Arabidopsis thaliana: one gene and its partners. Each later gene encodes a partner of the first gene's protein in a complex. Each region holds a gene or a part of one and is shown in the gene's direction. Other genes may lie near its edges.

Evidence for each region.
Region 2: AKINBETA1 (region 1) and SnRK1.3 share a complex: the UniProt entries of both Arabidopsis thaliana proteins name them as parts of the probable heterotrimeric complex.
Region 3: AKINBETA1 (region 1) and KIN10 share a complex: the UniProt entries of both Arabidopsis thaliana proteins name them as parts of the probable heterotrimeric complex.
Region 4: AKINBETA1 (region 1) and KIN11 share a complex: the UniProt entries of both Arabidopsis thaliana proteins name them as parts of the probable heterotrimeric complex.

What each region holds. Positions count from the first base shown.
Region 1 is NC_003076.8:7,203,131-7,210,728, forward strand, and holds AKINBETA1 (5'-AMP-activated protein kinase beta-2 subunit protein), read left to right. Parts: upstream 1-2,536; 5' UTR 2,537-2,587; coding exon 2,588-2,785; intron 2,786-4,035; exon of another isoform or gene 4,036-4,093; coding exon 4,094-4,204; intron 4,205-4,292; coding exon 4,293-4,468; intron 4,469-4,549; coding exon 4,550-4,712; intron 4,713-4,794; coding exon 4,795-5,109; 3' UTR 5,110-5,366; downstream 5,367-7,598. Other genes in the region: LARP1a (LA RNA-binding protein), read right to left, coding at 1-161, 498-749; AT5G21222 (protein kinase family protein), read left to right, coding at 6,292-6,462, 6,635-6,697, 6,832-6,903, 7,075-7,182, 7,291-7,371, 7,568-7,598. UniProt on the Arabidopsis thaliana protein: Regulatory subunit of the probable trimeric SNF1-related protein kinase (SnRK) complex, which may play a role in a signal transduction cascade regulating gene expression and carbohydrate metabolism in higher plants.
Region 2 is NC_003076.8:15,778,784-15,786,583, forward strand, and holds SnRK1.3 (SNF1-related protein kinase 1.3), read left to right. Parts: upstream 1-3,123; coding exon 3,124-3,313; intron 3,314-3,763; coding exon 3,764-3,948; intron 3,949-4,048; coding exon 4,049-4,231; intron 4,232-4,325; coding exon 4,326-4,454; intron 4,455-4,531; coding exon 4,532-4,717; intron 4,718-4,803; coding exon 4,804-4,893; intron 4,894-4,982; coding exon 4,983-5,072; intron 5,073-5,169; coding exon 5,170-5,295; intron 5,296-5,440; coding exon 5,441-5,632; intron 5,633-5,802; coding exon 5,803-5,916; downstream 5,917-7,800. Other genes in the region: AT5G39450 (F-box family protein), read left to right, coding at 7,262-7,270, 7,364-7,800. UniProt on the Arabidopsis thaliana protein: Catalytic subunit of the probable trimeric SNF1-related protein kinase (SnRK) complex, a central regulator of cellular energy homeostasis, which, in response to seemingly unrelated darkness, sugar and stress conditions, activates energy-producing pathways and inhibits energy-consuming processes.
Region 3 is NC_003074.8:29,679-38,017, reverse strand, and holds KIN10 (SNF1 kinase homolog 10), read left to right. Parts: upstream 1-3,530; 5' UTR 3,531-3,874; coding exon 3,875-3,940; intron 3,941-4,037; coding exon 4,038-4,230; intron 4,231-4,354; coding exon 4,355-4,539; intron 4,540-4,641; coding exon 4,642-4,824; intron 4,825-4,916; coding exon 4,917-5,048; intron 5,049-5,164; coding exon 5,165-5,350; intron 5,351-5,441; coding exon 5,442-5,531; intron 5,532-5,640; coding exon 5,641-5,724; intron 5,725-5,797; coding exon 5,798-5,935; intron 5,936-6,020; coding exon 6,021-6,257; intron 6,258-6,467; coding exon 6,468-6,581; 3' UTR 6,582-6,837; downstream 6,838-8,339. Other genes in the region: HYP1 (hypothetical protein 1), read left to right, coding at 1-125, 202-351, 440-503, 589-798, 880-1,068, 1,144-1,442, 1,528-1,804, 1,891-2,166 and 2 more; AT3G01085 (Protein kinase superfamily protein), read right to left, coding at 7,196-7,206, 7,467-7,587, 7,663-8,019, 8,106-8,217, 8,293-8,339. UniProt on the Arabidopsis thaliana protein: Catalytic subunit of the probable trimeric SNF1-related protein kinase (SnRK) complex, a central regulator of cellular energy homeostasis, which, in response to seemingly unrelated darkness, sugar and stress conditions, activates energy-producing pathways and inhibits energy-consuming processes.
Region 4 is NC_003074.8:11,127,013-11,135,502, reverse strand, and holds KIN11 (SNF1 kinase homolog 11), read left to right. Parts: upstream 1-3,397; 5' UTR 3,398-3,546; exon of another isoform or gene 3,547-3,694; intron 3,695-3,989; 5' UTR 3,990-3,992; coding exon 3,993-4,185; intron 4,186-4,314; coding exon 4,315-4,499; intron 4,500-4,593; coding exon 4,594-4,776; intron 4,777-4,871; coding exon 4,872-5,003; intron 5,004-5,100; coding exon 5,101-5,286; intron 5,287-5,361; coding exon 5,362-5,451; intron 5,452-5,536; coding exon 5,537-5,620; intron 5,621-5,703; coding exon 5,704-5,844; intron 5,845-5,980; coding exon 5,981-6,211; intron 6,212-6,496; coding exon 6,497-6,610; 3' UTR 6,611-6,883; downstream 6,884-8,490. UniProt on the Arabidopsis thaliana protein: Catalytic subunit of the probable trimeric SNF1-related protein kinase (SnRK) complex, a central regulator of cellular energy homeostasis, which, in response to seemingly unrelated darkness, sugar and stress conditions, activates energy-producing pathways and inhibits energy-consuming processes.

The sequences.
Region 1 (7,598 bases):
AAAGGAGGTGGATGATACGGTACAGCATGCACGAGATAAGGAGGAGGAGGAGGACCATTCTGGTTGCTCCTCGGACCTGGTTTTGAATGACGGCCAGATGGATTCTTGTGTCCAGGATTAGCCTTTCCACCACCCTTAGATTTCGCTTGACCAGTTACGGCCTAAACAACAAAACAAAAGAGCTTTTATGAGCAAAGCTAAGGCTACAAATTCAATGCTAAACAAAAGACTTTCCAATCACACTATAAACCTTTCAAGCCAAGTAAAAGAAAATCACGACAAATAAATAAACGTCATAATCATCATGCATCAAATTCGATCAAAGATTCAATATCACCAACTTAAACCAATCACGAACACAACTGATATCCAGTATCAGATAACTCTCAGCTCTACCAAGTACCACGCACCATTACAATCGGAAAATTAATACTCAATTAAAGCATAATCAAACAACATTGACAAATCAACGGAAAGAAGTCGGTTGTTTGACTAACCGGAGTAGGGATTGGGATAGACGTCGGAATGTTTTTAGACGGCGGAGCAGGTGCAGGCGCCGGAGGATTCTTAGGACGCGGTTGTTGGGCAGCGTCGGCGAGTGCAGGCCACGAATGAGCTCCCATTACAGGAGCGTCAATAGTCTCAACAGGAGAAGTCGTTGTTTTCCACGGAGACTTAGTCCCAATACCACCTTCACGGGTGATCAATTCTCGATCATCGGCCACTGATCCTTCAGTCTCCGCCATCATTAGAAACTTGGAAAGATAAACAGAATCAAAACAAGGAAGCGATTCAATTGGATCAAAAACAGAACGAGGATTGAAGGATCAGATGGAGAAGACGCAATGTGAGGAAGAGAGGTTGAAGAAGGAGGCAAGTGTGTGTGTGTGTTTTGGTGGCGACACTCTTTAAGGGAGGAATAAGCGAGGATGAAACAAACAGTGAAACGTATAACCCCAAAAACCCTAGTTACTTTCCTCTTTTTTTATATGTATATGTTTATTTTATATAGCAATTTCCTATTTTTCCTATTTGAAATTTGACAAAAAATAAGAATAATATTCATGATTTGTTTAATTACTAGTATTACAAATATCCTCTAATCTGGTCTTTATCCTTCGTAATTAAAAACATTCAATTTATTTCTTTTTAATTTTTGTTTTGAGAAAACATCATTTATGTAGGGTTTTAAAAAAATTTAAATTAACTTTATAAACTTATTTTCGTTAGACCTATTTATAACGCGTTTATTTATTAACCTTAGTTTATGTCCTTAAATAGATGTGTTAGAATTTGTGTAGCAATTCTAAGTTATTTTGTACTTTTAATGTGATCTAACAAACTTTTGTTACAACTAAGGATTAGTAGTTGGTAAAAGAGAACGAAGATAACTAGTTATCGCTCTTATAATCTCTTTATTGTTTTATTGTTTAATTCGTTTAAGTTATTTAATTATAATATTTAGTCTTTTAAAAATACGTGAAAAATTATCTGAATTGTTAATATACATATAATAATTTTTATATATATGATGGATATTAACGATGATTTCTGAGGTGAAAACTATTATCTTAATTTTTTTTTTGGGTGAGGCTATTATCTTAATTCTTCAATATGTGAACCTACGAAGAATAAAGTAATTGATGAAGATTTGAATGAATTTTTGTCTCTGAAAATGACATTTGAAGGTGTCTGTGGAAGATTTAGTGTCCACTAGATAAGATTTCTAAACAAAAGGTCAATATATTGATGAAAATTGAAGTGATTGAAATCAAGTTTTTCCAATGATAGTACACTCGTTTGAAGAAAATATGAGGTTGAATCAAAACCTTAGTTCAAAGTAAATGATAAAGCAAAAGCTGAAATCTTACAATTTGAAAGTGACCAATATACAATGCGAGAAAGCAAAAGAAAAAACAATGACTCAACCTATAAGGAAAGTGCATGACAATCACTCATGGCTTAGTGAATAGTGACCATCGCCTTTTACAAGTTTACATTGGCTTTGAAACCCTCCAAACTTTTCGAAACAATCTTTCGACCAATAACTAGTTTACGGGACTAACCAATACAAATCTTGGAAAATGATGATTCTTTGACCATCTCTATTCTAACCCCACCTATTGGAGTTTAAGGCCTTTTCATCGTCACGATACGCATACTATGATCACTGGCTCTAGCAAGATGTTAAGGCACACAAATCGGTGGCAAGGAGGTGACTGGCCCTTGTGTCATTATCCTTCTCAAAGGCATTGAACCAACTTTTTATTCACATTTGTTTATTATATACTAAAAGAAATAAACAAAAAAAAAGTGGATAATTATAAACTTTTGGACGCCAAGTCACTCGTTTATCCATTTGGTACGGATTTTAATGATATCTCTCTCTCAAGAGCCCCTTTTATGCAAAATCTCTTTTTCGCTACCAATGGCATTATTCGTAATTAACTTCTAACTTGAGGGGCGTTTCATTATCTCCTCCTCGTCGTCCTCCCTCCATTTTTCTTCACGTCTGGTTTTCTCTCTCTTTTCCTCTATCTCTCTCCTCTCTTTGTCTCTCTCGCTTCTGTGATTTGGGCTTTTTCAGATGGGAAATGCGAACGGCAAAGACGAAGACGCCGCCGCCGGTAGCGGTGGTGCAGATGTTACCTCGTCCTCGGCGAGATCTAATGGCGGCGATCCTTCTGCACGCAGTCGTCACCGTCGTCCTTCTTCAGACTCTATGAGCAGTTCTCCTCCCGGAAGTCCTGCTCGATCTCCATCTCCTTTCTTATTCGCTCCTCAGGTTCCCTCTCTCGAATATCTCTCTCTGTTTAATCGTTGAATTTGATTTCTGGTTTTGAATTGAATCGATTGAAACATTCGCCCAAAGAGATAATAGTAAGAGAATCTTTTTGATTTGTTTCGTTGAGTAAGAGAATGTTCGTTCACTTGACTTTTCATTTGTTTCACTAATTGTGAGACACTTTCTTCATTTAGATAGGATCCAAGTACAAAATCTCCAGCCTTTTTTTTATGAGTGAACTCTACTTGTTCACTTGATTTGTGTTATCCTGTTGGTTCTTGAGAATTTGTAATGTAGATTCTTGTTCTTAAAGCTTTTTTCTGAGTTGGGTTTAGAGATTCTGTACTAGAGAATCTCTTTTATTTTTGTGTTATCTTGGTTCAGGTATCTTGAAATAATGCATAATGTGGAAAAGTTTCTACCTTTCTTTAAGATGTTGTTTTGGTTTCCTAGCTATTTTTTCTTTATTTTCCAGCCGGTCTCTAGTCATTTACTGGTCGCTCATGATTCTTGATGTCCCTTAGTGAGTCTTTGTGTAATTTATCTTTGTTTCATTGTGAAGAGGGCAACTTTGCAGACTAAGTACGTTTGTGAATGAAATCTTTTGTATAAAGGAATTAGACTTGACTTGGTTTTGTTTGGTTCTTGAGAAGTCAAAAACTCTGGTAAATGACAAGGTAGCTAGTTACTCTTCCTTAGTTTTGGTGGAGAGAGAGAGAGAGGCTTAGATCACCTTATTGCTATGTCTTTTCCTTTTGGTGAGTTAAAATCTTGTTAATCATACTAGAGAATCTGCTTTAGAGAAGGTCTTATTTGTCTTCTGATTATGCCTCCATGCCTGGTGTGGAAAAGCGTATGGCAGTCAAATAGGATGATTATTGTCTCTCTAGGTTTTTATGCTGATTTTGACTTTCCTGCTGCTCTCTGGTCATTTACCAGTTACTGATACTGTTCTGTTGATTTGCATGTCGCATTGTGAGTCTTTTGTGTAATGTCTTTTGCTTTCATTTTTAAGAGGAGGGAGGGCAAGCTTGTTCTTTTCTTCGCCCTTTTTGAATTTAAACACGCAGAGCTTTTACTTGAACGAATTACAGATTTTGGATGTTTCGTCATTCTTCTCATTGTTCTTAATATGTGAATAATTCATAAGATAAGTGAAGGACAACCTTCTAAAATTGACCTTGTTATCAGGTTTTTGTGGGAATAGTGAAATATCTTTTGCTAATAAGGTCTTGTCTGTACTCTGTATGCGAGTAAATTTCTGAGTCTACTGTTGCTATATTCATTTTCGACTCCTTTTCTTTTCAGCCCACATTGTTATTCCACGTTACATCTTACAACATTTGCTCACCTATGCGTCACCTCTTCCATTGTTTAGGCTTAACATGTGTACCTAATGGCTGCATTTCGTGTCGGATGGTAGATATAATGTTTTGACATTCGCAAATTCTTCTTGCACATTGGTTTGTAAGATCTCACGGCTCAGTGTTTATGTGGATATTCTCAGGTTCCCGTGGCTCCATTGCAGAGAGCAAACGCCCCTCCTCCTAATAACATCCAATGGAACCAATCACAGAGAGTTTTTGATAATCCCCCAGAGCAAGGAATCCCTACCATCATTACATGGAACCAAGGAGGTAATGATGTGGCGGTGGAAGGATCATGGGACAATTGGAGATCAAGGTATAATTGACTTTGTTTCTCGTGGACCCTCTCTCGAGATTTCGTGATATATGTTAAAAACAATATGTTTACATTCACCAGGAAGAAGCTGCAGAAATCAGGGAAAGACCACTCGATTCTCTTTGTCCTTCCATCTGGCATATACCACTACAAGGTGATTGTGGACGGTGAATCCAAATACATCCCAGATTTACCCTTTGTAGCAGACGAAGTTGGCAATGTCTGTAACATTCTCGATGTTCATGTAAGTTACTTTCCCACCTCTTTTTTTCTCATGTTAAATCTATCAATCAGCTTAACAGTATCTGCAATCATTATGCATGCAGAACTTTGTGCCAGAAAACCCAGAAAGCATAGTGGAGTTTGAGGCGCCACCATCACCTGATCATAGCTACGGTCAAACCCTACCAGCCGCAGAAGATTACGCGAAAGAGCCACTGGCGGTGCCACCTCAGCTTCATCTAACACTTCTTGGCACTACTGAAGAGACAGCCATAGCCACAAAGCCTCAACATGTGGTGCTTAACCATGTGTTCATAGAGCAAGGATGGACTCCTCAATCCATAGTAGCTTTGGGTTTAACCCACAGGTTCGAGTCTAAGTACATAACTGTTGTCCTCTACAAACCGCTCACACGGTAACCCTAAAAATTCAGTGCCACATTGTTCTCTCTCTTTCTTTCTTTTTCATCTCTCAATTATGTGAAAACATGTTCTTTGTTCATAGTGACTAGTGAGTGCCCAACATTTGAGTTTATTAACCTCTTTCTTACCTGGTTTGTGGTGCTTGTGTACAAAGCTTCTCTCATTGTAACGATTGTTGTTTTATTTTCTGCAAAAACTGTAAAATACATTCGCTAATAATGGCTATAACAAGCTTATCTGCTAGCAACCAAACACATAAATCCTGTTTTTTTTCTTCTTCTGACAAAACGTTTGCGAAAGTGACAAATTTTTGAAAATAATCTTTCTTTTTGGTATTGGAAAAGGCTAACCAGTTTGAAAGTGTACTCATAATAAATCCACGTCGTCTATTTGATTGAAAATTTTAATTTGGATAAGAAAAAGATAAAAGAGAAATAAGGTGAGAAAAAGTGAGCCACACGATGGAGTATGGCGGAAGAAGCATCGACCGAGTAATTGAGACGCTCTGTTTCCAATTACTACTCTCTCGAGCTCCTCCGCTCTGCATTGTCGCCGAGAGTTCCTTTCTTGTCCGACAAACTACTTCTTCTCCTTCGATAAGCCAATTCTGCGCCATAGATTTTTGAAATCTACTGCCGGAAAGGCTGCATGCGATTTCAACTCCCTTTTCCCGGGACAATTCGCAGGTGTGTATTCCTGAAGCTCCGTTGTACTATACTACTATTCCATGTTTCACTTCGAACGAAGAATCAATCATTCGGTAAATTGGATAATTTGGTCACTTGTTCATGACCTGTACATAATCAAATGTGTAGGAGGACGATGATGAATTTGTAGCATGAACTATCGACGTCATGATTCTAGAAATTTATGTTGGAATTAAAGGGCCCAATGAGAAACATACCCAACAATTTATGCTGTTGCTGAAAAGCTTTGCCATCGCATTGTGGATTTCAGCTGTTTTTGCCTTGTCTTTATCACATTTGACGCCATAGTACTATTTGTGTGTATTCTCGTATTTTACAGTTTCTTTGTCCCTTTTGCATTAGTTTCTGTGAATTGAGAAAAGAAACACTCTGTTGCCTGCACTGTTGGGTTCTTTGGAGATAGAATTCTAACATTGACATTACATTTTCATGAAACAGCTTGTGAAGAAGATCAAGAGGTGAACTCTGAGTGATGAGTGAGCCAAAGGTCAGGCGTTGGGTTGGCAAATATGAGGTTGGAAGATTGATCGGTGAATGTAATTTTGGGAAACTGCGGAGTGCTGTTGACACAGAGACAGGAGACCCTGTGGCTTTGATGATCCTTGATAAAGACAAGGTTCTGAAGCATAAGATGGCTGAACAAGTAATTCGCTTTCCTAATCGGCATTTAGTTTTTTCATGCCTCCTTTCTTGTCCATTGATATGCCCATGTTACATTTCTTGAAGTAAAACGTGGTTTCTAAAAGCGAGATTCACAGATAGATCCGTCTTCTGTCCAGAAGTATGATGTGGGTCTTTCCCGTTTGCTTTTACAGATAAAGAGAGAAATTTCTATTATGAAGCTGATCAACCATCCAAATGTAGTGCAGCTTTATGAGGTCTAATTCCATGCCCCAATTTTTTTTCTACGTGTCTCTATTTTCCTTTGATTAACTAGAAATTAACAGCTCCCTGGAGTCTAAGCAAATATGTTGAAAACTAACATTTAATGAAATGATTGATATCATTCCAGGTTTTGGCGAGCAAGGCGAAGATATATATTGTCCTAGAGTTCATCAGTGGTGGAAAGCTTTTTGACAAGATTGTGAGTTTTCCCTTTACCTCCCAAGGGCTTTAACTTGTATCTAATGCATCCTTTGGTATTTGAATCATGAACCAAATGCCCCATGCTCAGCTAAGAAGTTCCTGTATCTTACAGATTAGATAATATATTATTTTGACTTTTATCCAATCCATTAAATTTAAACTTGTGAAGAAAAATGATGGGCGCATGAATGAAGACGAAGCACAGAGATATTTCCAGCAGCTTATCAATGCAGTTGATTACTGCCACAGCAGGGGAGTGTACCACAGAGACTTAAAGGTACAAGGAACATTTTTGGTAACTCTTAGGCCAAGTTTGCAGTGTAGGTTCTTTTAAGTGCAGCTAGTTAGTGCCTAAATTTTTTTCTTCTTTATTTTCTCAATGCAGCCAGAAAATTTGCTTCTTGATGCGCAAGAGAATTTGAAAGTCGCTGAATTTGGATTGATTGCCTTGTCCCAACAAGCCGGGGTAACTACGGAATTTTATTTTCTTAGCATCATTTGTTTGCCTGAGTTCCTACTGAGTTGTCCTTGTCTTATTCTAATGAATGTGCCTGAAGTTCAGTAATGATGATATCAGTGATTATATTCACAAAAATTTAACAAGGTCCGTAACACTGATCTTTCTAGATTCTCACCTTATCAGAATTACTTGGTTTTGGCAGGGAGATGGCCTTCGTCACACTGCATGTGGAA
Region 2 (7,800 bases), 8.6 Mb from region 1:
CGTGGGCTTTAGGTTTTTGATTTTCTTTTCCATTATGCTTTAGGGTTTGATCTTTTGTAATCAACTATTTAAACCTCTCTCCTACGTGAATAGACGGCAGCTTTTTTATTGAATTATTCAGAGCTTTTAAAGCATCTATCTCTTTTGTTTCTCAGCTATTCTGTAAATCAACGAGCTACAAATTTTGTTCTTTGTTCGGTCACTATGTGAATCAACGAACTTAGGACTTGTTACGGTTAGGCTGCGCCAACAACTCCACCATCTACATATACATTTTTGCAGCCATTTTGTTAAATGAATTCTGGAGTTGGAACTTATTTACAATGGCTGTCACTAGCTTATTCAATGCAAAAAGTTAACTACCAAATCAAAGCAAATCTTATTCAAAGGAATATGCTTTTATTCCACGGCCTAATTATTTTTGCCAAAATGGTTAAAATATTTAAAAATTAAATAATCATTTGAAAGAAAACTTTAAATTGATTTAAATTATAAATCTTTTAATAAAAATATTATTAAAAAAAATAAAAAAATAAAAAAATAATTTCACCGAACATGATTAGATAGTAGGACTAGATGGTAGGACATGTTTATAATATTATAATATATAAACTTTACAACAATTAAATAACCATTTGAAAGAAAACTTTTAAATTGATTTGAATTAAATATTTTTTAAATTAAAGTATTATTAAAACAAAAATAACAAAATAATGTCTAGTTTTACTGAACAAGGTTAGTGGTAGGACGGGTTTGGTCGATGGTATTACGAGACGGTATATCACAAGTGAAATCCATTAGATATGTTTAATTTCACTGTGCATGATTAAATGGTATGACAGGTTTGGATCGATAGTAATACGAAACGATATACTACGGGTGAAATCGTAGATATAAACAATTAAATTTTATATATACATTATCTTAAACACTAAACAAAGTAAACAATATTAATAAAACAAATATCTACATATACATTCTATATAACATATTTTATTAAAAACCTAGCCCCGCGGTATACCGCGGGTCAAAATCTAGTATATCCTAAAAATTCACCGAAATCTCTCCAAATCAATTGTTTTTCTAAATTCCACCAAACCCTCCTAAATCTTTAATTGAATACATATATCTCTTTGTGTGTGTAAATTTATATGTATATACATAGAATGTTTGGTTTTGTTTAGACTTTAATTGATAAGTGTTAGTTGAGAACCTGATTGTTGATAACTGCAACACATTATTCAGGTCTCTTCTGTTGAAAATTTTATGGCAATAATCCTTTTCTTGTGGCAATAATCCTTTTCTTAGCGATTCAGGAGGACACGAGGCACACTGATATTTTTTTTGATTACATATACAGATTTGTTCAAATTTAATGTATTGTTTTAGTCTTTTTCTGTTGTCCATTTATTTTCTAGCATACACCTCCACTTTGAAGTTATATTTGTCTTTTTTTGGTAAAAAAAACTAATTTAGTTTAAAAGAAAAAAAAACAGACTTAATAAATAATCCAAATAAATTGTTTCAATCATATACCAAATAAAGTAATGTTTATTTGTTTACTTGTTTACCATCTCCATGGTGTTGTCTATTTCCTAACGATTATCATTGATTTTTTATCTTTTACTTTAAAAATAAAAAGTTAGACAAATCTTGACGAATTTTTTACATACATGAATTTTTTTTGGCAAACCCGATAAAATGGTTCATAGTGATAATAGAACTGAACTGAACATAAATTGAAAAAAAAAAAATCAGCTAATCTATGGGTCTGTGGCAGTTCTAATGACTCTTTCAACAAGATCTAGCCATATTTTAGTGTATGTGAAAGGGCATGCAAAGAAGATATAGTCTTAGGCTTTTCTCGTTTCCCACAAAAATACACTATTTTGAACATTTCATCGCGGTTTTGAATAGTAATTTTAGTTTTAGTTATATAATAACTTATAAAAAAATATTTATAATACAAAAAAATCTTTTTAAATGTATAATCTAATTTTTATGGAAATGTAAAAAGGGTGTTACACTTTTTTCAGTACGTATTAAAAATTTATCTCTCATCACAAAAATCTAAATCACAATATTTAAAAGTATTAACTAGTAAATCTACTTCAAATTAAAGATTATTATTACTATTTAAATATCTCACCAATAAAAACTCATTGATTTTTTCTAATTTCTTACAAAACATTCTCCGTTGGAAATTTTCTTTATATATGTATATTCTAAATTAAAATAAGAAAGAAATATTCATTGTATGGTTAGTCAAAGTACCCACTCACATTAATGGCAACTTGTATATCAGGAAAGATATTTCTGTCTTCAAAATGTTGAATAATTAGATTCTAAAAACTGTATAAAATATTAAAATCTAACCATTTTACTAATATATTTTATATTTTTGTCATAATTAGGTAATTACTATTAAGTTAAAACAGAAACTGATCTACTTCTTAACATGGTTGTGTGTAAATTAATTTATTGTTTAATATGATTCATGAAAAAAGTGTGATACCATTAGTCAACAGTGTGACTCAGATTTACCTCAGCAAAGGAGAGTAAAAACAAAGGAAAGATGATAATATATGTGCCCATAGACTCTTTTCTTGTACTTTTCCTCAATTTTCTAGTGGTGCAATTTTTCGTGTGCATGCTCATATAATTTGTATCATGGGTTCCATTTTTTTCTTGCATCAACCATACTCTATAAGATTATGTTAAGAGTCTTCTACGTCTAAATCATTTTTCCAAAAAAAATTCTGTTCAATTTGAAGGTTTTTGTTAGAAACAAAATCTATGAATTTTATGAAAATTTACTGATTTTTATCGGTTTAGACAATCAGTCAAACCACAAATTTCTTCCTTCAACTAGGGGACCTATTCATATAGTGAACGAAATGAATTTTGCTAAAATATGATTTTGATTTGGGGCGTATCACCTTTTGGTGGATTTTCTAGTTAGATTCACCATCAATTATTTTTTATTGTTCATTTTATAGGTAGTTTTTTTCTCATAATCCGTCCATTTTATTGATATTTTACCTTGATATATATTTTTGTTATAGAGGTTTAATTATATATTTCTTTTTTATATTTCAGGTTTTATTATCTATAGTAATTAAAATGGATGGATCATCGGAAAAAACTACCAATAAATTAGTATCGATTCTACCAAATTATAGGATTGGTAAGACTCTTGGACATGGATCCTTTGCGAAAGTGAAATTAGCACTGCATGTAGCTACTGGTCACAAAGTTGCTATCAAAATTCTTAATCGCTCTAAGATTAAGAACATGGGTATTGAGATCAAAGGTATGTATTATTTACTTCAATTTTGTTACTCTTTTTTCATTTGTACAAAAGATTAGAGGAGGTATAACACCTCTCTAAATGTATATATAGATGTATCTTTATTTTTCTTCACGAGATCTAATAGGTCTACGAGATTTCGGCAACCACCATGATCAATAATTTTTGGTTTTGATAATATAATTACAAGTTTATTTGGTATGGATTGTATTTTAATACTGAGAAATCAGAAAAATATTTTTATTTTAAAATCTGTTTTTTTCTACGAAAATACTTTATCCGAATCTTAGGTCTCGAAGCCGAAAGACTGTTCATTAATATAGGTCACTGTTATGATTTGTTTTTTTTTTTGGACTACTTTATGTGGCAAAAAAATATTACGCTTTATGTCTTATATAATCGTTGTTATTTATTAGTAATCTTAATAAATGAAATTGTTTAAGTCTCTTGTAGTACAAAGGGAGATCAAAATTCTCAGATTTTTGATGCATCCTCATATCATCCGTCAATATGAAGTTATAGAGACGCCAAATGACATTTATGTTGTGATGGAATATGTTAAGTCTGGAGAACTATTTGACTATATTGTAGAGAAAGGTAAATTACAGGAAGACGAGGCTCGTCATCTTTTTCAGCAGGTTTGGTATATATATAGTATTTATCCAAACATTTTGTATTTCATAAAACCTTATATCCTTTTCGATTGGCAACACTTTTATTTAAACCATATATTCTCAGATCATATCTGGTGTAGAGTATTGTCATCGCAATATGATCGTTCATAGAGATCTTAAGCCCGAGAATGTGCTTTTGGATTCGCAATGCAACATAAAGATTGTTGACTTTGGATTGAGTAATGTCATGCATGATGGTCATTTTTTAAAGACTAGTTGTGGAAGCCCTAATTATGCTGCTCCAGAGGTATAAGAGATTAACATATTCTTCATTTTTATTTCATGAATTTGGATATATATTTGAAGTATCAATTACTCACACCTGAAACTTATTTATATAGGTTATTTCAGGAAAACCATATGGACCAGATGTAGATATATGGAGTTGTGGGGTGATATTATATGCTCTGTTGTGTGGTACTCTTCCTTTCGATGACGAAAATATTCCTAATGTATTCGAGAAAATAAAGGTATTAATAAACAACGATCTTTTTATAAAAATCATATATATTACACATGGTTATGAATTTTTTCTCTATTTCTTTAGAGAGGAATGTATACTCTTCCAAATCATTTATCACATTTTGCTAGAGATTTGATACCGAGAATGCTTATGGTTGATCCTACTATGAGAATTAGCATTACTGAGATTCGTCAACATCCTTGGTTCAATAATCATCTTCCTCTTTATCTTTCTATTCCTCCATTAGATACCATAGACCAAGCTAAAAAGGTTAGAATTTGTTTTCATTAAATTGTACCAAAATAACATCATTTTTATGAATTCAGTTAATTTTGTATCAATTTTACTCTTTCTAGATTGAGGAGGAGATAATTCAAAACGTGGTTAACATAGGGTTTGATAGAAACCATGTTGTTGATTCTCTTGCCAATAGAATCCAAAACGAGGTATGAGTGTTTTCATATTTCATATAATAATCCTATTATACTCAAAATAGTTTTATAAATGATACTCAAGTTAAATTTCGTTACTTTAGGCTACAGTTGCATACCATCTAATCCTAGACAACCGAAACCAAAATTCTGTTCCCAATGACCCTTTCCAATCCAAGTTTAAAGAGATTTCGGTACTTACTCTCTTTCTCTACAACCTGAATTTAAGAAAAATAAATAAACATTACTTCTCTATATAATTATATTTTCGTTTTAATCCTACAAATATAGGATGGTATATTTAATTCGACGTTACCAGTTCAAAATATTACTTCACATGTTGGCCATTCATTTTCGGCATTGTATGGACTAAAATCCAATGTCAAAGATGACAAAACATGGACCCTTGGACTTCAGGTTAGTCCATGCATGGTTAATGTTTAATCCATTGTTGTTCATGTTACTTTAGCATTCAATTTCGTCTCATGTTTTCTTAATTTTCTTTCTATTCAAAACAGTTTATCAATATATATATCAAAATAATTGTTTGGAATTTTGACAGTCTCAAGGGAGTCCTTATGATATCATGACTGAAATTTTTAAAGCTCTTCAAAATCTAAAAATATGCTGGAAAAAAATCGGACTCTACAATATAAAATGTAGATGGGTCCGAAGCTTTGCTTACTATAAGAATCATACAATTGAGGATGAATGTGCCATCATCTTACCGACCGTCATCAAATTTGAAATTCAGGTATATTTATCCAATTTAAGATATTATACTATAATTTAATAGTCCATAAATAACAATTTTTTTTGTTTTGATGCGAATATAAAATTATCAACAATTTACATTGTTAAAATCTATTTAGAGCAATTTCTTAAATGCAAACCTAATTTGTATCATTTTGGTTGTTGTTATAGCTATACAAAGTACGCGAAGGCAAATATTTGCTGGACATCCTAAGAATTGATGGACCTCAGTTTATCTTCTTTGATCTATGTGTTGCGTTTCTCAGAGAGCTAGGTGTCCTCTAAAGCTCAACCATCACTGGTGTTTTAGATGATTATTGCGGTTAGCTAGGTCCTCTAAAGCTCATTTCATCAATGTTTTTTCGATGATTATTGCTTCAATGTTTTAAATTCAATTATGTTTTCTATGTTTCTGTATTTATGGATTAAGTAATCCTTGACAATAAACAAAAAAAAAAAGAAGATAGATTGTATTTTTTTTTGCATTAAGTTTTGGAAAATGCATGTACTTTTTACACTTTCTCGATTTATGATGCCAATTTTGTTTGAAAAACACACAGTACATGCATTTTCATAGATTTTTTTATATTTCTAAAATATAATTTAATGAAACCACATTTGATCAATTAACTCTGTTTAGCAAAGTGATTGATCACAGATCAAGTTGAATATATATTTACCTTCTAAGAGATTACAAATCGGTGATTGATCAAACTAAAGACCAAAGATACACAACCAACTCTCATGGAGCTTCACGAGAAACTCCTCAGTCAGACACACAATTTATTTCTCCTCATCTCTTAGAATTCTCATATTGTCTATCCAATTTCGTTTAGTGTGTCTGACTCAAAAACACTCGAGTATCGTCAAAAGTAACGTCAGCAGTATTATATTGTAGCGTACGTTATTCTTCTAGTATTTTTTATTACAAAGAAAACTAAACTGTAACATTAGATTTTTGTCATTGAAACCCATCTATATAAACCAATCAGCATCACTTTGAAAACCATCGTAATAACGTGTTTAACAAAATACCTTTATTTCTACGTCTAATATTTGACTTGGTTTAAGTAGTTTAGAGACTGTTTTTACGAGACACAAAAATCAAAAAACTCTTGTTCTACACAACCGATATAAACCGATGTCAATTCTTTGCTTTCAAAATTAATGAACTTTTGAAGGAATCAAAACCATTTCTTATGGGCTAATATTTTTCTTAAATGGGCCAATATGTATCCATTTAAAGGCCCAAATATTTCAGAACCATCCTACAAATCTCCAGCCTCGTTGTGGTGTGGTGTAGTGTGTTTTGGAGAAAAGGACATTTGCAAATTATTCTATTATTTCAAACTAGTCCCTAAAGTTCTTACTAATAGTGAAAAGAAGCACTAGGAAGACTTCAACAGTGTAGTCAACTTTAAACTTGCAACGAAAGACCAATGTCTCTCTCTCGCATCGTCTTCTTAGTTAGCGATTTCCTCATTTTTCTTATACAATCTGATTCGGATCGAGTTCTTCTTTGATGGGTAATTGAAAAGTTTGAATCTTGTTTACGTAAAAAGCGATCTGATTCAAACCAAAACTGATATTTTTGACGAATCCCAAAGCTGCGTTTTTTGATCTTCAAAGTATGAATCAGGTAAAACTTTGTAAAGCCAAGTTTGATTTCTGAGTATCATCAAATTTATGTGTTTATCTTTAGTGATTTTGTTACCGATTTGATTTGTGTTAGATGAGGAACGGCGATTTAGGGTCAGAATCATTTGGTACTTGCTTGCTTCTGTCTCTTCCAGAAGATGTTATTGCTGTTATAGCACGTTTTGTATCTCCAAGAGACATTTGCAATCTGAGCTTATGCTGCAAAAGTCTATGTGACGTTGTGGATTCAGAAAGGATCTGGCTTGTGCAGTGTGAAGTAGTAAAGGTTCTTCCTTTATCTGAAATAATCCAATGGCGAATTGGGATTTCTTCTTATAAGGCGCTTTGTTGGTTTCTTGGAGAGGTAATGAAGCCTCTTGTTGGTGTTTGGGTTCATCAAAACCCTGAACTTGGGAATGTTGTTTATGTCATGCCTGGTTTCTTGTCTGTTGTTGGGTGTCGGATAATTCCACAAGAGGTTGGTCCTTTGGGGATTGAGGAGGCTCGAGTTATGTGGTCACCTGTGTTTGA
Region 3 (8,339 bases), on another chromosome or scaffold:
TTCAACCTCGAGAGGCTTTTGCCTACTGCTGGTTGGGTCAAAAGAGCATTGGAACCTACCAATGATGAAATCCTCTCCAATCTTGGCTTAGATGCTTTGGTCTTCATTCGTGTCTTTGTCTTCAGGTTGATTGATTCATTGAGCATCTGCTTCAAGTTTGACTTTTTTTTTGTGAAACTTCAATGCTTTTTTGTTTGGCAGCATAAGAGTGTTTAGCTTTGCATCTGTGGTTGGGATCTTCATACTTCTTCCAGTGAATTATATGGGAACAGAGTTTGAAGAGTTTTTCGACCTCCCAAAGAAGTCTATGGATAACTTCAGTATCTCTAATGTTAACGATGGATCAAATAAGTAAAGAACTCGAAGCTATGCTTAAACAGTATCCCGATTTCTACTTGTCCGTAACCGATCTCTTATGCTTGTATGTGTTTTGCTTCAGGCTGTGGATCCACTTTTGCGCAATATACATCTTCACGGCGGTTGTTTGTTCTCTACTTTACTATGTAAGACGCCTTTTGTTTTGTCCATCCATTCTACTTTATATCGCCTATATGGGAACATAAAATAATGTTTGGACTATCTTTGCAGGAGCACAAGTACATTTTAACAAAGCGGATTGCTCATCTTTATTCATCCAAGCCTCAGCCACAAGAATTTACAGTTCTGGTCAGTGGCGTCCCTCTTGTATCCGGGAACAGTATTAGTGAGACAGTAGAAAACTTTTTCAGGGAATATCATTCTTCCTCGTATCTTTCTCATATAGTTGTTCATCGGACAGACAAGTTGAAAGTTCTCATGGTAAGCTTCTACCTACTAAGGATTCTATAAGGCCTTACCTTTTGATATTTCTGGATTTCATATATCTGTTAATATTTGCAGAATGATGCTGAGAAGCTGTACAAGAAGCTTACACGAGTAAAATCCGGAAGCATATCTCGCCAAAAGTCTAGGTGGGGTGGGTTTCTAGGGATGTTTGGGAATAATGTTGATGTGGTTGACCATTACCAAAAGAAGCTTGATAAGTTAGAAGATGACATGAGATTGAAACAGTCTTTATTAGCAGGAGAGGTGAGAATTTGTCTTTTTGTGACTACTTGCATTCTTCAACATATTCATTCCTTTTTTTTTGGCAAACCCTTTTAGGAAGTTCCAGCTGCTTTTGTTTCCTTTAGGACAAGACATGGTGCTGCAATAGCAACAAACATTCAGCAAGGAATAGATCCAACACAATGGCTAACTGAGGCAGCCCCGGAGCCCGAAGATGTTCATTGGCCATTTTTCACTGCATCGTTTGTGAGAAGATGGATCTCCAATGTAGTGGTGCTTGTGGCTTTCGTAGCTCTTTTGATCCTATACATTGTCCCCGTTGTATTGGTTCAAGGTCTTGCTAATCTTCACCAGTTGGAGACTTGGTTCCCTTTTCTAAAAGGAATATTAAATATGTAAGTAAAGCCCTATTTAGATAAAGATGGTTCTTCGTTTCAATTGAACAATTACAAAATCTTCTTTTTTTTCTTATGATTGCAGGAAAATCGTGAGTCAAGTGATTACGGGATATCTTCCGAGTCTCATTTTCCAGCTTTTCCTTCTTATAGTACCACCCATTATGCTTCTACTTTCCTCAATGCAAGGATTCATTTCTCATAGCCAGATTGAGAAATCTGCATGTATCAAGCTTCTAATCTTTACTGTATGGAACAGTTTCTTTGCAAATGTACTGTCCGGATCTGCCCTTTATCGTGTTAATGTGTTCCTTGAACCTAAGACTATTCCTCGTGTGCTTGCTGCAGCTGTGCCAGCACAGGTAAAGAACACAAAATTCAGTATTGAGGTTTCCGGAATTCCCTTTTCGTACCACGAGTCATGTTTATTGTTTAATCTTTGGTGTAGGCATCGTTCTTTGTATCTTATGTTGTGACCTCTGGATGGACTGGTTTATCATCAGAGATCCTCCGTTTGGTTCCTCTTCTTTGGAGTTTCATAACGAAACTTTTCGGCAAGGAAGATGACAAAGAATTTGAGGTTCCTTCAACTCCTTTCTGCCAAGAAATCCCAAGGATTCTATTTTTTGGACTCCTCGGTATAACTTACTTCTTCCTTTCGCCATTGATACTGCCTTTCTTGTTGGTCTACTATTGTCTTGGATATATCATCTACCGCAACCAGGTAACGGAACCAATCTCACTCCTAAGTATAATTCTCTGTTGATCTCTGATAAAATCATATAGGAATCAGCTACACATATTTTCGTTATATGGAATCTCACTTTTATCTTCTCTTTATATGTGATCCCTTTTCTAAATTCTCGAATAGCATCTTTAAACCGAAAGTATTTTTTGGAGCTTCAGTCATGACATAAACGTTACATCAAGAATCCATTTTCTCGTCACATAATTCTTTTTCTTCTTAATGAATCCATTGCAACTTGTTGATAGAAATAACATCACCTTTTTGTGCTGCAGCTCCTAAACGTATATGCGGCCAAGTATGAAACTGGTGGAAAGTTTTGGCCAATAGTTCACAGCTATACTATCTTCTCTTTGGTACTAATGCACATTATTGCAGTCGGATTATTCGGGCTTAAAGAGCTTCCAGTGGCATCTTCTTTAACAATTCCCCTTCCGGTTCTCACGGTCCTTTTCAGCATTTACTGCCAAAGACGGTTTTTACCAAATTTCAAATCTTATCCTACCCAGGTAAAGGCTTTAGAGAAATAGTTACTCATATTTTTGATCCAATGGAAGAAAAATATGGCTAGATAATCTTTTATTCCTAACCTAAACAAAACAAACAGAACATGATGCATAGTCCTTTATTACATTACAGCATCTACTCTAAACCTTTATATGGTGATGATGGATGTTTTACTTTTGCAGTGTCTGGTAAACAAAGATAAAGCAGACGAGAGAGAGCAAAACATGTCTGAATTCTATTCGGAACTCGTTGTTGCTTACCGAGATCCTGCACTTTCGGCATCACAGGACTCGAGAGATATCTCACCTTGAGATCACCTTTTTACTTGAGCTATTGAAGTTTGCTTATGTTGAAGCTGTTGGTTTACTATACCTGGTGCAATCCATGAAAGAACACACTAAACCGGTTGTCTTGTACATTGGGTCTTAACCGAGAATCAAGCGGTTTTTGTCTTGTACATTTGCTTACACTTGGCTTGTGTAAAAAAGAAAAAAAGTTTATGTCAATGTATCTCTCTAAACCGGTTTAAGACGGTACAAACTTTTTGAAAGATGCCAAAACAAAACGGTGGTTAATAATTTTACCACAGAGAATATTTAGCAAAAAGATGATGACTAGATGCCACGTCCGCATGGGGGTATATATTGTAATTAGTCGTAACTCTGGGGGTAATTTAGTTAAAGATTGATCCGTTTATGGAACCAAAAATCAAATAATTTCGTCTTTGATACTTGCTTGCGCCTTATAGGCTACAGGAGCGAGAGCAATGAAAGCGAGAGGAAGAATCTATCAATAATTTCTGGGTTTAAGCTGATCTCTGGATCTTCCTCAATTTTACTTTTTCAGCTCAGAAAATTTTGGGACTTTTTTTTGCTGCATTTTTTGGTTCCGAATTTTCTCCTCCGCCTTTTTTAATTTTTGGTAAGTTTCGATATCTCTCAATTTTCTTATTTCGGAAATAAAAAAAATTCTCGCCCTTTTGCAAATCAATGGATTGATCTTGAAATCGTCATTTCTGAATCGGGTACGAGAGATCCAGTAATCCTCTGCGATTGAATTATTATTAGGGTTCATATTCCGAATTGGGGATAGTCTGAAAATTGCTATTTTAAGCTCTCTTCTTAGTGTTGGTTGGTTTATTCTGGATAATAAAAGGGATCCTAATTCTCGCTAAATTCTCATGTTCAAACGAGTAGATGAGTTTAATTTAGTTTCTTCAACGATCGATCACAGAATCTTCAAAAGTGTAAAAATTACTTGCTTTTTGTTCCTATTACTCTTTTGCAGTTTGTTTTGTGTGTTGTGTACTAGTAGATCTAATATCTCTCTCTCTTTTTTTGTAGAGAATGGATGGATCAGGCACAGGCAGTAGAAGTGGGGTAGAATCGATTCTACCAAATTACAAGCTTGGGAGAACTCTTGGTATTGGTTCCTTTGGTAGGGTGAAGATAGCTGAGCATGCATTGACAGGACATAAGGTTGCTATCAAGATCCTCAATCGTCGCAAAATCAAGAACATGGAGATGGAGGAGAAAGGTACAAGTTTTGTTTTGTGTATCCATTCCACCTTAGTTGTGACTTCACGGTACTCTTGGAATATATAAATATATAGCTTCTTTTTCGTCTTCCTTCCTTTGAACTTATTTGGTCTTTGATGCAGTGAGGAGAGAGATCAAAATCTTGAGACTATTTATGCATCCTCACATCATCCGTCTCTATGAGGTTATAGAGACTCCCACAGATATTTATCTTGTCATGGAGTATGTGAACTCTGGTGAGCTATTTGACTATATTGTTGAGAAGGGTAGATTGCAGGAGGATGAGGCGAGGAACTTTTTTCAGCAGGTATGTTTTTATTTTATTTTATCAACATGTAACTTTCCAAGCAACCATTCGATTTTATATTATATTTGAGAGTTAAGAATTAGCTACTTGGCTTTGATGTAGATAATATCAGGAGTGGAATACTGCCATCGAAACATGGTGGTTCACAGAGACCTCAAGCCTGAAAACTTGCTTTTGGACTCTAAATGCAATGTAAAGATTGCTGATTTTGGCCTGAGCAACATAATGCGAGATGGTCATTTTTTGAAGACAAGTTGTGGAAGTCCAAATTATGCCGCTCCAGAGGTAAGTGCTTCAGCCCTCAGGTATCTGAGGAATACTATAATTAGGCTTGTTTCAAATGATAGGTTATAGTCGAGATCTATAAATTGTTTCAGGTAATTTCGGGCAAGTTATATGCTGGCCCTGAAGTAGATGTCTGGAGCTGTGGTGTGATACTCTACGCTCTTCTCTGTGGGACGCTTCCATTTGATGATGAAAACATTCCCAACCTTTTTAAGAAGATAAAGGTACATTCTATTACTCCTCCTCTTTCGTCTATTTGAACTAATGCTTGAATTTTTTATTTTATTTTTCGTATCACCCTTCGACTGTAACCTTTTTTTTTTCTCTTTTCGTCCTATAGGGAGGGATATACACATTACCTAGCCATTTATCTCCTGGTGCTAGAGATTTGATCCCCCGGATGCTTGTAGTTGACCCCATGAAACGAGTAACCATCCCTGAGATCCGGCAACACCCTTGGTTCCAAGCTCATCTTCCGAGGTATTTAGCTGTTCCTCCTCCAGATACTGTGCAACAGGCAAAAAAGGTAAGCCTAACGTATCTACTCTTATTTTCATTAGAGAAATCTCTATTCCCATTTTTCGATAAAGGCGTAAAAGCGCTGTCTTCATTTGTAGATTGACGAGGAGATTCTCCAAGAAGTTATCAATATGGGATTTGACAGAAACCACCTCATCGAATCGCTCCGCAACCGAACCCAGAATGATGTATGTGTTTCCCACCCACTTGTTCTTTTGCTGTTTCTTTCATTTCAAAGATTAAAAAAAATTCCATCAAAAGATCTTAAATACTGTATTCTTACCGACTGTCTTCCAGGGCACTGTGACGTACTATCTGATACTGGACAATCGTTTCCGTGCCTCTAGTGGTTATCTCGGGGCTGAGTTTCAAGAGACCATGGTTAGTCTTTTTTGTCCTTTTCGACTTTAGCAAAAGATCTTTGACGTAATGCTTCATTGTTTGATTTAATCAGGAAGGTACTCCCCGTATGCATCCAGCAGAAAGCGTTGCTTCACCTGTTAGCCATCGGCTTCCAGGACTGATGGAATATCAAGGAGTTGGCTTGAGATCTCAATACCCTGTTGAGAGAAAATGGGCTCTTGGACTTCAGGTTTTGATATTTTCTGTATTTATGGTATAAAGACTTCAGCTTTTGATATATATGTGATTAATATTGTAACAATTTGATCGCACAGTCTCGGGCTCATCCCCGTGAAATAATGACGGAAGTCCTGAAAGCCCTGCAAGATTTGAATGTATGTTGGAAGAAGATAGGGCACTACAACATGAAGTGCAGATGGGTTCCTAACAGCAGCGCAGATGGTATGCTCAGTAACTCGATGCACGATAACAACTACTTTGGAGACGAGTCCAGCATAATAGAGAACGAAGCAGCTGTTAAGTCGCCCAATGTTGTCAAGTTTGAAATTCAGGTAAATCCTCTTCTCCACTTCATGATACATATCGGTTTCCCGTACGACATTGTTTCTGATGTGTGATTTCGAGTGAAAGAAAGCTTTGTGTATTAGTGTCCATGGCCATTTTTGTAACTGAATTAGAACTAGAGTGAATCTTCATGAATCTAACTATCAATCAATATTTTCTGGGCTTGATGACGTTTGTTATTGTTGATGGTGAAACAGTTGTATAAAACTCGGGACGACAAGTATCTACTGGATTTGCAGAGAGTACAAGGTCCTCAGTTCTTGTTCTTGGATCTGTGTGCTGCTTTTCTTGCTCAGCTCCGAGTCCTCTGAATACTAAACCGGACCTCTTCAAGAATAATCCCCACTTATTCCTTTTTTTTTTTTTTTCTTATTCGTCTAAGAAATTATTTAGAAAACGTAACCCTTTTTTTCTTCTTCTCTTTCTTTCTATTTCTATATGCGTGCTCTACTCAAATACCTCTTTTAACTTAAATGTAAGACTGAGCAAGAGTAAAAAAAAGACACTTTGTACATAACTTGTAGTGCATCATGCCACCAAGATTGATTTTTGTTTTTGTTTACTCCATATTTCTTATGATTAAAATCAATAAGTTAAGGGAAAGACATTTTGACAAAAATTGAAGGAAAGATGTTTAAATTAGTTTCATTGAAAACAAATTAGCAAATTCAGAAGTAGTTGTTTTTGTTTCGTGTATTATTTGATGGGTCAATATTACACTATATTTTTTGTGTAAACAAATTAGCAAATTCAAAAATAGTTGTTTTTTGTTTTTGTCATCCTACTAATATTAAGACATTGAAAAACGAACATTTAGGATGAGCTTGATGTGTTTATTTCGAACTAAGATCCAAAAACTATACAAACTCAAAAACAAGCCCAAAAAGAATTTCAAAAGTTTCCAACGTGTGGTTTTACCTACCAGTTAATCTTCTCCTGCAAAAAAAAAAAAAACACATCAAGTGTGAGATAAACTCTCACAAAAATACAAGGAAATTTGTAATAATAATAAAAAAAGACACAATTATCTTTTGGTAAACCTGAAATTGAATAATTTCACACTGACTTGGGCTTTTTTTTTTAAATGAAAAATTAAACAAATATGGACTACAAATCATGATGGTAGGTAAAAAATGTATATATATCTTTGGCTAAAAATTCTGGTAATTTAATTCGCTTTTTCCCCAAATTTTAACCTCTCTCTATTCGTGGTGGTCTTCGAACACCAACTCTAACATCACTTTCAGTCCTCCGTAATATTTCATTCATCCCATTTGTTTGAAAAATCTTCGGATTCGCCCCAAGATTCGTCAAATCCTGCATGATTTTATCAAAAATTAAAATTGAATTCCAACTGCCGGTTTAGATGGTACCGGGTTCAATTTGACTTACCATATCTTCTTCTGTTTTCTTGTGATTCACGCCAGAGAACAACAACACATCAGAGGGGTCCAGAGAAACGTGCGGCCTAAGAAACGGTTTGTCTTCGTTTATCGTTAACCCGAAAGTGTTCTTAGCAAAAGCCATGCTCATACCACTCACGTGGCTCGCAGATCCTGGCTGGATATAAGTCAGCGTTGAAGCTACGTCATTTTCTTTCCTCTTCTTTGTCCCTGCCCACGCGAACCCGCTCGCTGGTGCCGTGGTTTGAGACAAACTGTTATACGGAAACTCGCTTCGTGTCGTCGCCTGAGACGTCTCTGACGGCGTCTGGACAACAATTTCTGTTTCGGCTTCCTTCTTTGTTTCCTGCTGAAATAATGAACAAAAATTACAAATATCGAACCGGGAAATAGACTCATCGGTTTATTCCGGTACATGAAACACCATAATACCTGGTGGGTTGGTAATCTGTTGAGATTTGTAGGCTCTTTGACTGTTGCCCTACGAGATTTACCCAATTTCTTTGTTGCCAAGTTATCTCTTTTCTTGATACTAACTCTTCTCCTGCATAACAAAGTTTAATTAATTAAATACAACCAATGATATTTATACAATGCGCATGCTAGCAATCATTGATACCTTCGTTGAAGTTCTTCGCGGTACTTAGCATCCATTTCTTTATTAGG
Region 4 (8,490 bases), on another chromosome or scaffold:
GACATCGTTTTACCGTAACCAAAACGGGAAATATGTCATTCAATACTCTAATTTTCAAATTATGACCGTTTTATACATCAACTTCACATGTAGTCATTTTATACATACCGCTATTTAACAAAACTTGTAGAAAAAGGATGTCATTGAATAGAAAAACCTCTAACTCTACCCCAGAATCTGAAAATTTATTTACCTCTTCACTAGCTATCTTCATAAGTAGCTTGCTTTATCGAGTTCAAAATATAATAACACAAATCACATAAAGTTTAAATAATTGATCGAATGATTTTAAGAGCTAATTAGTTAGACTATAAATTGGTGCTTTGAGATTTCGAACAGAAAAACCAAAGTCGAGCTTATTATATAGCTGGTAAGAACTTTGAACAACATTCTAAATCCCCTATATATTAATTGAGAAATACTTTTTAGAAATAACCTTATTTTCATGTGTAATTAAAGAAAATGTCATGCTAACATGTCGTTCTCACATAGCTTCTCAATCCATTTAATTATACACCTAACATTTATTAGAATATTTACAGATTTGCATTAGTTTACTTATATATATATTTTTCAAATTAATTTATGATTTTTCTACTCAATTATTCAAATGAAATTTCAATCAAAATATGCAATTAAGAGATACAAATCTATACAAGATAAAGTATATAGAAATATGCAATTAAGACATACAAACCTACATATATTAGAGCGAGACCGACCCGGTCCATAAAACTTCTAATCCTATATTTTAAAGCCCAATTTGACCATAATAGGGCTACATGACTTTTCCGGGCTTTTTATTTCGAATAAACAAACTTATAATTTATAATATCTCTGAAAAAGAAAGAACATATGTATGACATGAGTCAATCAAAATTTAAATAACCACTAAAACTAAGTTAATTTAAAATAAAAGTTTTGTTGAACCAAAAAAAAAGGAAAGAAAAAGTTTAAAAACAAAGAAATAATCCAATAAATTGTTTAAACTTATACTAAATAAAAATATAAAATCAGAATACTTCAAAGATGTAAGGCACAATTAGAAAACTAGATTTAGGTTTTTCAATTCAAATTTTTTTGTAAAACAATTTTCATATTAACAAAAATATTTAACAAAACAAATATCAAAATATTTATGTAGGACTTTTTGTCCGATCCGATCCTAGCCGGACTAAGCTCCAAAAACATTTAGTCTAAAAGAGCAAATTTTTCAAGACATATATATATTTAACCCGAATTCGCTGTTTTTAGAGTAAGGCCAGGCCAGCATACGAGCATTATCTCTAGTTGACATGCCTAACTATTAGGCTCAACTTTCCACATACATTTATAAAACACTAGTGTTCTAAAATACGGCTTATACGGTGTATCTATACTGTACAGTTGGAAGCAGTACTGTATTATGGTTATACAGTTGTTAAATACAATGAAAGCTATATACGAGTATATACAATGAATTCTGTGTAAAAGGTGTATTAAAAAAAATGCTCAAAAACAAAAACTATGGTATTTTATTGGCAGGAAATTTATTTGGAATATTTTAGGCAAAAAACAATTTCCAAATAAGGGTAAAATAGTCATTAAAAATTTACTGAAAGTAGAAATGAAAATGTCAAATATGAAAGGGTATAACTGAAAAAGGTAGTGTGAAAAGGGCATTCTCAGCAATTATTCTACATTTGAACTATCTATTTTATCTTAATAAACTGTTTTAATTCTATAGACTACATCCATCTTATTGATGATATTTAAATTTTAAATAATAATTCATATACTTTTCAGTATTTAATTTAGTATTTCCTTAAACCAAATTTCAATCTTACATATTCAATTTTGCAATACAATTTAAATATCTATTTTATTATATAAAAATACAATTTAATTCGATTCCATACAATTCATATACAATTTGATTTTGCAATACAAATACAATTTTATTCTATACACTCCATCTTATTGTGTTAGTTTTCCTTCTTAGTTAAGAAAATTTTAAGTTAAATTTTTCGATATAGAAATATAAATTGGTATATGTATTTGTTTTTGTTAAATTTCCTATTTCTTTTAGAAAAAATATTTAAAAAATCTCGATTTTGCAATACAATTTAAATATCTATTTTATTATATAAAAATACAATTTAATTCGATTCCATACAATTCATATACAATTTGATTTTGCAATACAAATATAATTTTATTCTATACACTCCATCTTATTGTGTTAGTTTTCCTTCTTAGTTAAGAAAATTTTAAGTTAAATTTTTTAGATATAGAAATATAAATTGGTGTATGTATTTTTATTGGTTAAATTTCCTATTTCTTTTAGAAAAAATATTTAAAAAATCTCGATTATGCAATACAATTTAAATATCTATTTTATTATAATACAAATACAATTAAATTTGATTGTATACATTTCAAATACAATTCGATTTTGCAATACAAATACAATTTAATTCTATACACTCCATCTTATTGTTAGTTTCCCTTCTTAGTTAAGTAAACTATAACTTATTTTTTTTAGATATAGACATATAAATTAGTATATGTAAATATTTGTTTTTGTTAAATTGCCTATTTCTTTTAGGAAAAAAGTAAAAAAAAATCCGACACAATATCAACATATGAACGATTGACTTGTTACGTGTCACGATCAGTTGAGTTATTAACTTTAAAAACTCTACTTTATATAATAAAATGCGTCTGAAACTTCTTAATTTATCCGCTTTATCATTAGCACGCTTTTATATATAGAAAACTAGATTTTAACCCGCGGTATACCGCGGAGACAATTTATTTTTTAAAGTTACTATATATAAAAATTTGCAAATTATATTTATCTATAAAATATTTTTATTTTATAGTTTACGATTGTTATTAAGTAACGTCCTGTCAAACCCGTCCCGCCAATCCGTCCCGTAAAAAAAATTCACTGATTTTATTTATGATATGTTTATGAATCATTGTCTAAATATTTTTTAATTTTGTAGTAATTAAATGCTATCTAATATCTCTGCGGTTTGATGATTATAATCGAATTATTATAGTCATGTAGAAAAACAATATCAAAAATGATAATTTTGTAGTAATTAAATGATATTAAATATTTCGGAAGTTTTATTTTAGTAACTAATCGTGTAGTTAATGTGGAAAGATTTTGGGAAGATTGTCAAATATTTAATTTAAAGATTTTCTTTCTAATTATCAAAAACAATTATTAAATGCGAGTGGCAGCCACTGTAAATAAACTCCAACTCTAGGATTTATTTCACAAAGTGGCTGCAAAAATGTATATATAGATCATAAAAACAGTAATATAAAAATTTTAAACCTTAAAAAACTAGTTTTTCAAACAAAAACAGAAAATGGGCAAAAAGGCCCTAATTTAAGGGCTTGCAAATGGCAATAAATGTTTATCTGGGTTTTGTGGTTTCTTGATTCGTCATTACCAATTTTCACCATGAAGACTTAAAAAAACCTGACTCAGCTCTGCGTCACCTACGAGTTGGAAATCTGACTTCCCCAAGAATTTCTTCAGATTACATCGTAATTTACAATTCTGCCCTATTTATACCCATCAATCTGATTCTCCTTGTTTCTGTATATTTCTTCGCTCTTTGTTTGAACAATTTATCTGGGTTTTTGATTCTCGGATCTACTCCAAGACGGTTTTCGAAATTAACAAGCTTTTCAGGTAAATTGACTTTTTTTTCTTTGTAAAGGTTTATCAATTTTGTCTTCTAAACTCAAACTTGTGAGTCTCTTGTTTGGTTTCAGACCAAAACCACCATTACAAAGTAGTTATGTCGGTGGTTCTTGTCAGTTTTCTTACAAGCTTATGGTTGGTTTAGATTAGATTTGATGAAATGAAAATTGAGTTGAAGAATGTTTTTTTTTATTTGAGCAAGTTAATATGTTTACTGATGTTTTTCTATAGAGAAGTTGCTAAGAGAGCTTACTTATGAGTTTGATGTTGAATTGGGACACAGGAAATGGATCATTCATCAAATAGATTTGGCAATAATGGAGTGGAATCGATTTTACCGAATTACAAGCTTGGTAAAACTCTTGGAATTGGGTCTTTTGGGAAGGTGAAAATAGCAGAGCATGTTGTCACAGGGCATAAGGTTGCTATCAAAATCCTTAATCGTCGTAAGATCAAGAACATGGAGATGGAAGAGAAAGGTATATACAAGCACCGTTACTTTTAGCTTTAGTGGTTTCTAGAACAAAAGCTTTGATAATCAAATGTTTCTGCTTATTAGGTTTTAGTATGTATTTTTATCTTAATGTATGTATATTTCTTCTTTACAGTGAGGAGGGAGATTAAGATTCTACGGTTGTTTATGCATCCTCATATTATTCGGCAGTATGAGGTAATAGAGACCACGAGTGACATTTATGTTGTGATGGAGTATGTCAAGTCTGGAGAGCTCTTTGATTATATTGTTGAGAAAGGCAGATTACAAGAAGATGAGGCTCGTAACTTTTTCCAGCAGGTTTGTTTTCTCTTTACCATAACCAGTGTGTTTGTAGCGTATCATGTCATCTTTGAGTTTGAGTGTTGTTTGTGTTTGACTCATATCCGAATAGATAATATCTGGTGTAGAGTACTGCCATCGTAATATGGTTGTCCATAGAGACCTGAAGCCTGAGAATTTACTATTGGATTCGAGGTGTAATATTAAGATTGCAGACTTTGGGTTGAGTAATGTTATGCGGGATGGTCATTTTCTAAAGACGAGTTGTGGAAGCCCCAACTACGCTGCTCCCGAGGTATATAGTTTAGTAAAGTTACTGAATTGTTTTTCACCTATGTGACTATGTCTCGTTTCTCTTATGAGTGTCTTATCTCTTACTTCTTGTTGTAGGTTATATCAGGTAAATTATATGCTGGACCTGAAGTAGATGTATGGAGTTGCGGAGTTATATTGTACGCTCTATTATGCGGTACTCTTCCTTTTGATGATGAAAACATTCCCAACCTTTTCAAGAAAATTAAGGTACTGTACGTTATACTTTGATTCAGCTAAAAGACTCTTCTTAAATGGATTCATATGTATGTGAAGTAACTTATCAAGGTGTTTTTTTTCTCTTTAGGGTGGGATTTACACTCTTCCAAGTCATTTATCATCTGAGGCTAGAGACCTGATCCCAAGGATGCTTATAGTTGACCCGGTGAAACGAATCACCATTCCTGAGATCCGTCAACACCGTTGGTTCCAGACTCATCTCCCTCGTTATCTTGCTGTCTCTCCACCGGATACAGTAGAGCAGGCTAAAAAGGTTGGTTTCAGTGCCATTTGGAGATTAATAGAGTTCACTTGCTGTGATAGTAACAATATCTCTTATGTTTTGCAGATCAATGAGGAGATAGTTCAAGAAGTGGTTAACATGGGATTTGATAGAAACCAGGTTTTGGAATCTCTACGCAACAGAACACAAAACGATGTATGTAGTTTCCTGTCTCTAATGCTTTTAATCCCCGAAACTAGTTTCCAATAGTCACTGAAATGCCATTTGCTCCTTGTACCAGGCTACTGTTACATACTACCTGTTATTGGATAACCGGTTCCGTGTTCCAAGTGGCTATCTAGAATCCGAGTTTCAGGAGACAACAGTATGTGTTTTTCTTTCCTCTCAGTAGATAGCTTTCCAACATTTTTGACTAACATGTTCACCTTTTCAACGTTACTCATCTAGGACAGTGGTTCCAATCCTATGCGCACACCTGAAGCGGGCGCTTCACCTGTAGGCCACTGGATTCCTGCACATGTGGATCACTACGGGTTGGGAGCAAGATCACAAGTCCCTGTTGATCGAAAATGGGCTCTTGGACTTCAGGTTTGTTCCTGATTACTGATTCTTTTTGTTCCTCACCATAAAGTCTTCTGAATGCAACACACAATCAGATATCTGTACTCTTTGCCTCTACATAGCCAAATCGATAATCATTCTGTTACCTTGTTGTTTTGAACAGTCTCATGCGCATCCTCGTGAAATCATGAATGAAGTTTTGAAAGCTCTTCAAGAACTCAATGTGTGTTGGAAGAAGATTGGTCACTACAACATGAAATGTCGATGGGTTCCTGGTTTAGCTGATGGTCAGAATACTATGGTCAACAATCAGCTGCACTTCAGAGATGAATCCAGCATCATTGAGGATGACTGTGCCATGACTTCACCCACTGTCATCAAATTTGAACTTCAGGTAACTATAAACTCACACATACATTTGTATCAACAACATTCCTTGGAGAAAATAAACAACTGCCTAGTTCGGTTTGTTAGGGATATGAATCGATCAACGGGGTTTACATTCGTAGAATTGTGCTGGAGCAAAGACTAAGATCCTGATGTTGTTTTATCCCACTAGTAGTAGTTCAACAAAACTAAACCAGCTAGGACATAGACTAAAACCTTCTTTAGAACTTGAACCAACTGTTTTCGAAGAACAATTATACACTTTCTGAGTTCACTTTTGATTTTGAAACAGCTATACAAAGCCCGGGAAGAGAAGTACTTGCTGGATATACAGAGAGTTAACGGTCCGCAGTTTCTCTTCTTGGATCTATGCGCCGCCTTTCTTACAGAGCTTCGTGTGATCTGAATGTTTTAACCATTTGTTGAGACATTTTTTTTCTTTCATGTTCAATGGTTTGTAATAGTAGAGAACATAATATAATATGTGGGTGCAGTGTTTACTTTGCCGGGTTACTTTTATATACCTGGATTCTAAGTTAAACTCTACTGTAATAGTAACTATCCTTTCTTCTTTTTGATGGTTTTTAAGGTTTGATCATGTGTACATAACTTAGCTGTTTCATTCTAACTATTGTATTTCTCCTCTGATGCCAATTTTATACAACGTTTATATCAGACACATTATACATGTCATACCTAAAAACATTGCACGCAGAGTCCATCAAAATTCCATTTCACAAAATTCGGCTACCCAACTTAAGTCCTTAGCATCAATACAAGATGTGGAACACGATATTAATACAGAACATTGGAGAGCTACTTTGTGTGGACAATGCTTCTTGCAAAAGGAGTAAATAGGTCGCCGTCGGACAATAATATATCGGGCTTCAAGGATAAGTCCACCCCAAACATACATTGAATGTGTAGGGTAACACTACAGTACTCATCACACATAAAACCGCTCCTTCGGATTTATTTTGCTGATTTTTCATCATCAGTCGGTTCGGACCGCAAACTTCACACCAATACATCGTTGTACTTATCTCATCCCCATAAGAAAGAGTGAACATATGTTTATCATGCTTATACATTACCTTATGAGGTAATGTAGCACATTTGAAACACAAAGAAAAGTAGTCACACTCAATGCAATTGAATGTTTCCTTTCTGGAATAATGTCCTAGCTCTTTGCAAACTGAAAAATGTCTTCGCTTCTCTCCCGGTTTGGTTGTTAGGAATAAAGGATGCAAATGACTTGGATGGACTAGTGGCTCAGAAATCTTGGCGCATTGCATGTGTAGCAGAAAACAACATCATTCTTTACTACATTCATAGAAGAAACCAGCTTTACACAACCAAGGACAAGCAAAACATGTATCCTTATGATAGTCCATAACACCGTCATAAATTTCTGCCACCTTCGCAGAAAAAGTGTGTATAGCCTTCTTCTCCTGGTTGCCTAAATTTCTGCCAATTTAAGGAAAAACACTTCCACTTGTTATTCGTGGGCCGCAAGACTTCTCCAATCACATGGATTATTCCTTCTTTAAAAGTTACTTGTGCTTGAGGGCAAACTGAAATAAGTTTCTTCAACTTTGAATTTTTGAGATGACGAGGGAGAATATATTGGGCCTATGGGCTTAGTCGGTTTTGATATTTAGAATAGGTTAACTTTATGCTCAAGTTGTAACCTATATATAAACCAAGCAATGTAACCTAAAACCCTAAGAGATTCAGTTTATACAAACAAGAGTTTCTTGACATGGTATCAGAGCAAAACCTAAACTACTCAAGGGTTTGTTCGATTCTATGATCTAAACTTCCGCTAAAACAACTCTGTTTCTTATTTTCTGTTTTTTAAAACTATCTCACAAAGGAGAAAATCATGGCCACGAATTCTGCTACGTCGTCGGCTCTGATAACCTCCACCACCAATCGCCGTACAATATCTCCATACGATTTAACTTCCGGTGAGAACCCCGGAACCGTGATCTCCAAGCCTTTGTTGCGTGGTCCAAACTACGACGAATGGGCCAACAACATATGCTTGGCTTTGAAAGCTAGAAAGAAGTTCGGTTTTGTCGACGGTTCTATACCTCAACCACCAGACGACGATCCCGACTTTGAAGACTGGATTGCTAACAACGCGCTTCTTGTCTCTTGGATCAAACTCACGATTGAAGAAAAGCTCTCTTCGTCCCTATCTCACATCAATGACTCTCATGAACTCTGGACTCATATTCAAAAGAGATTTGGAGTGAAAAACGGCCAGAGAGTTCAAAGATT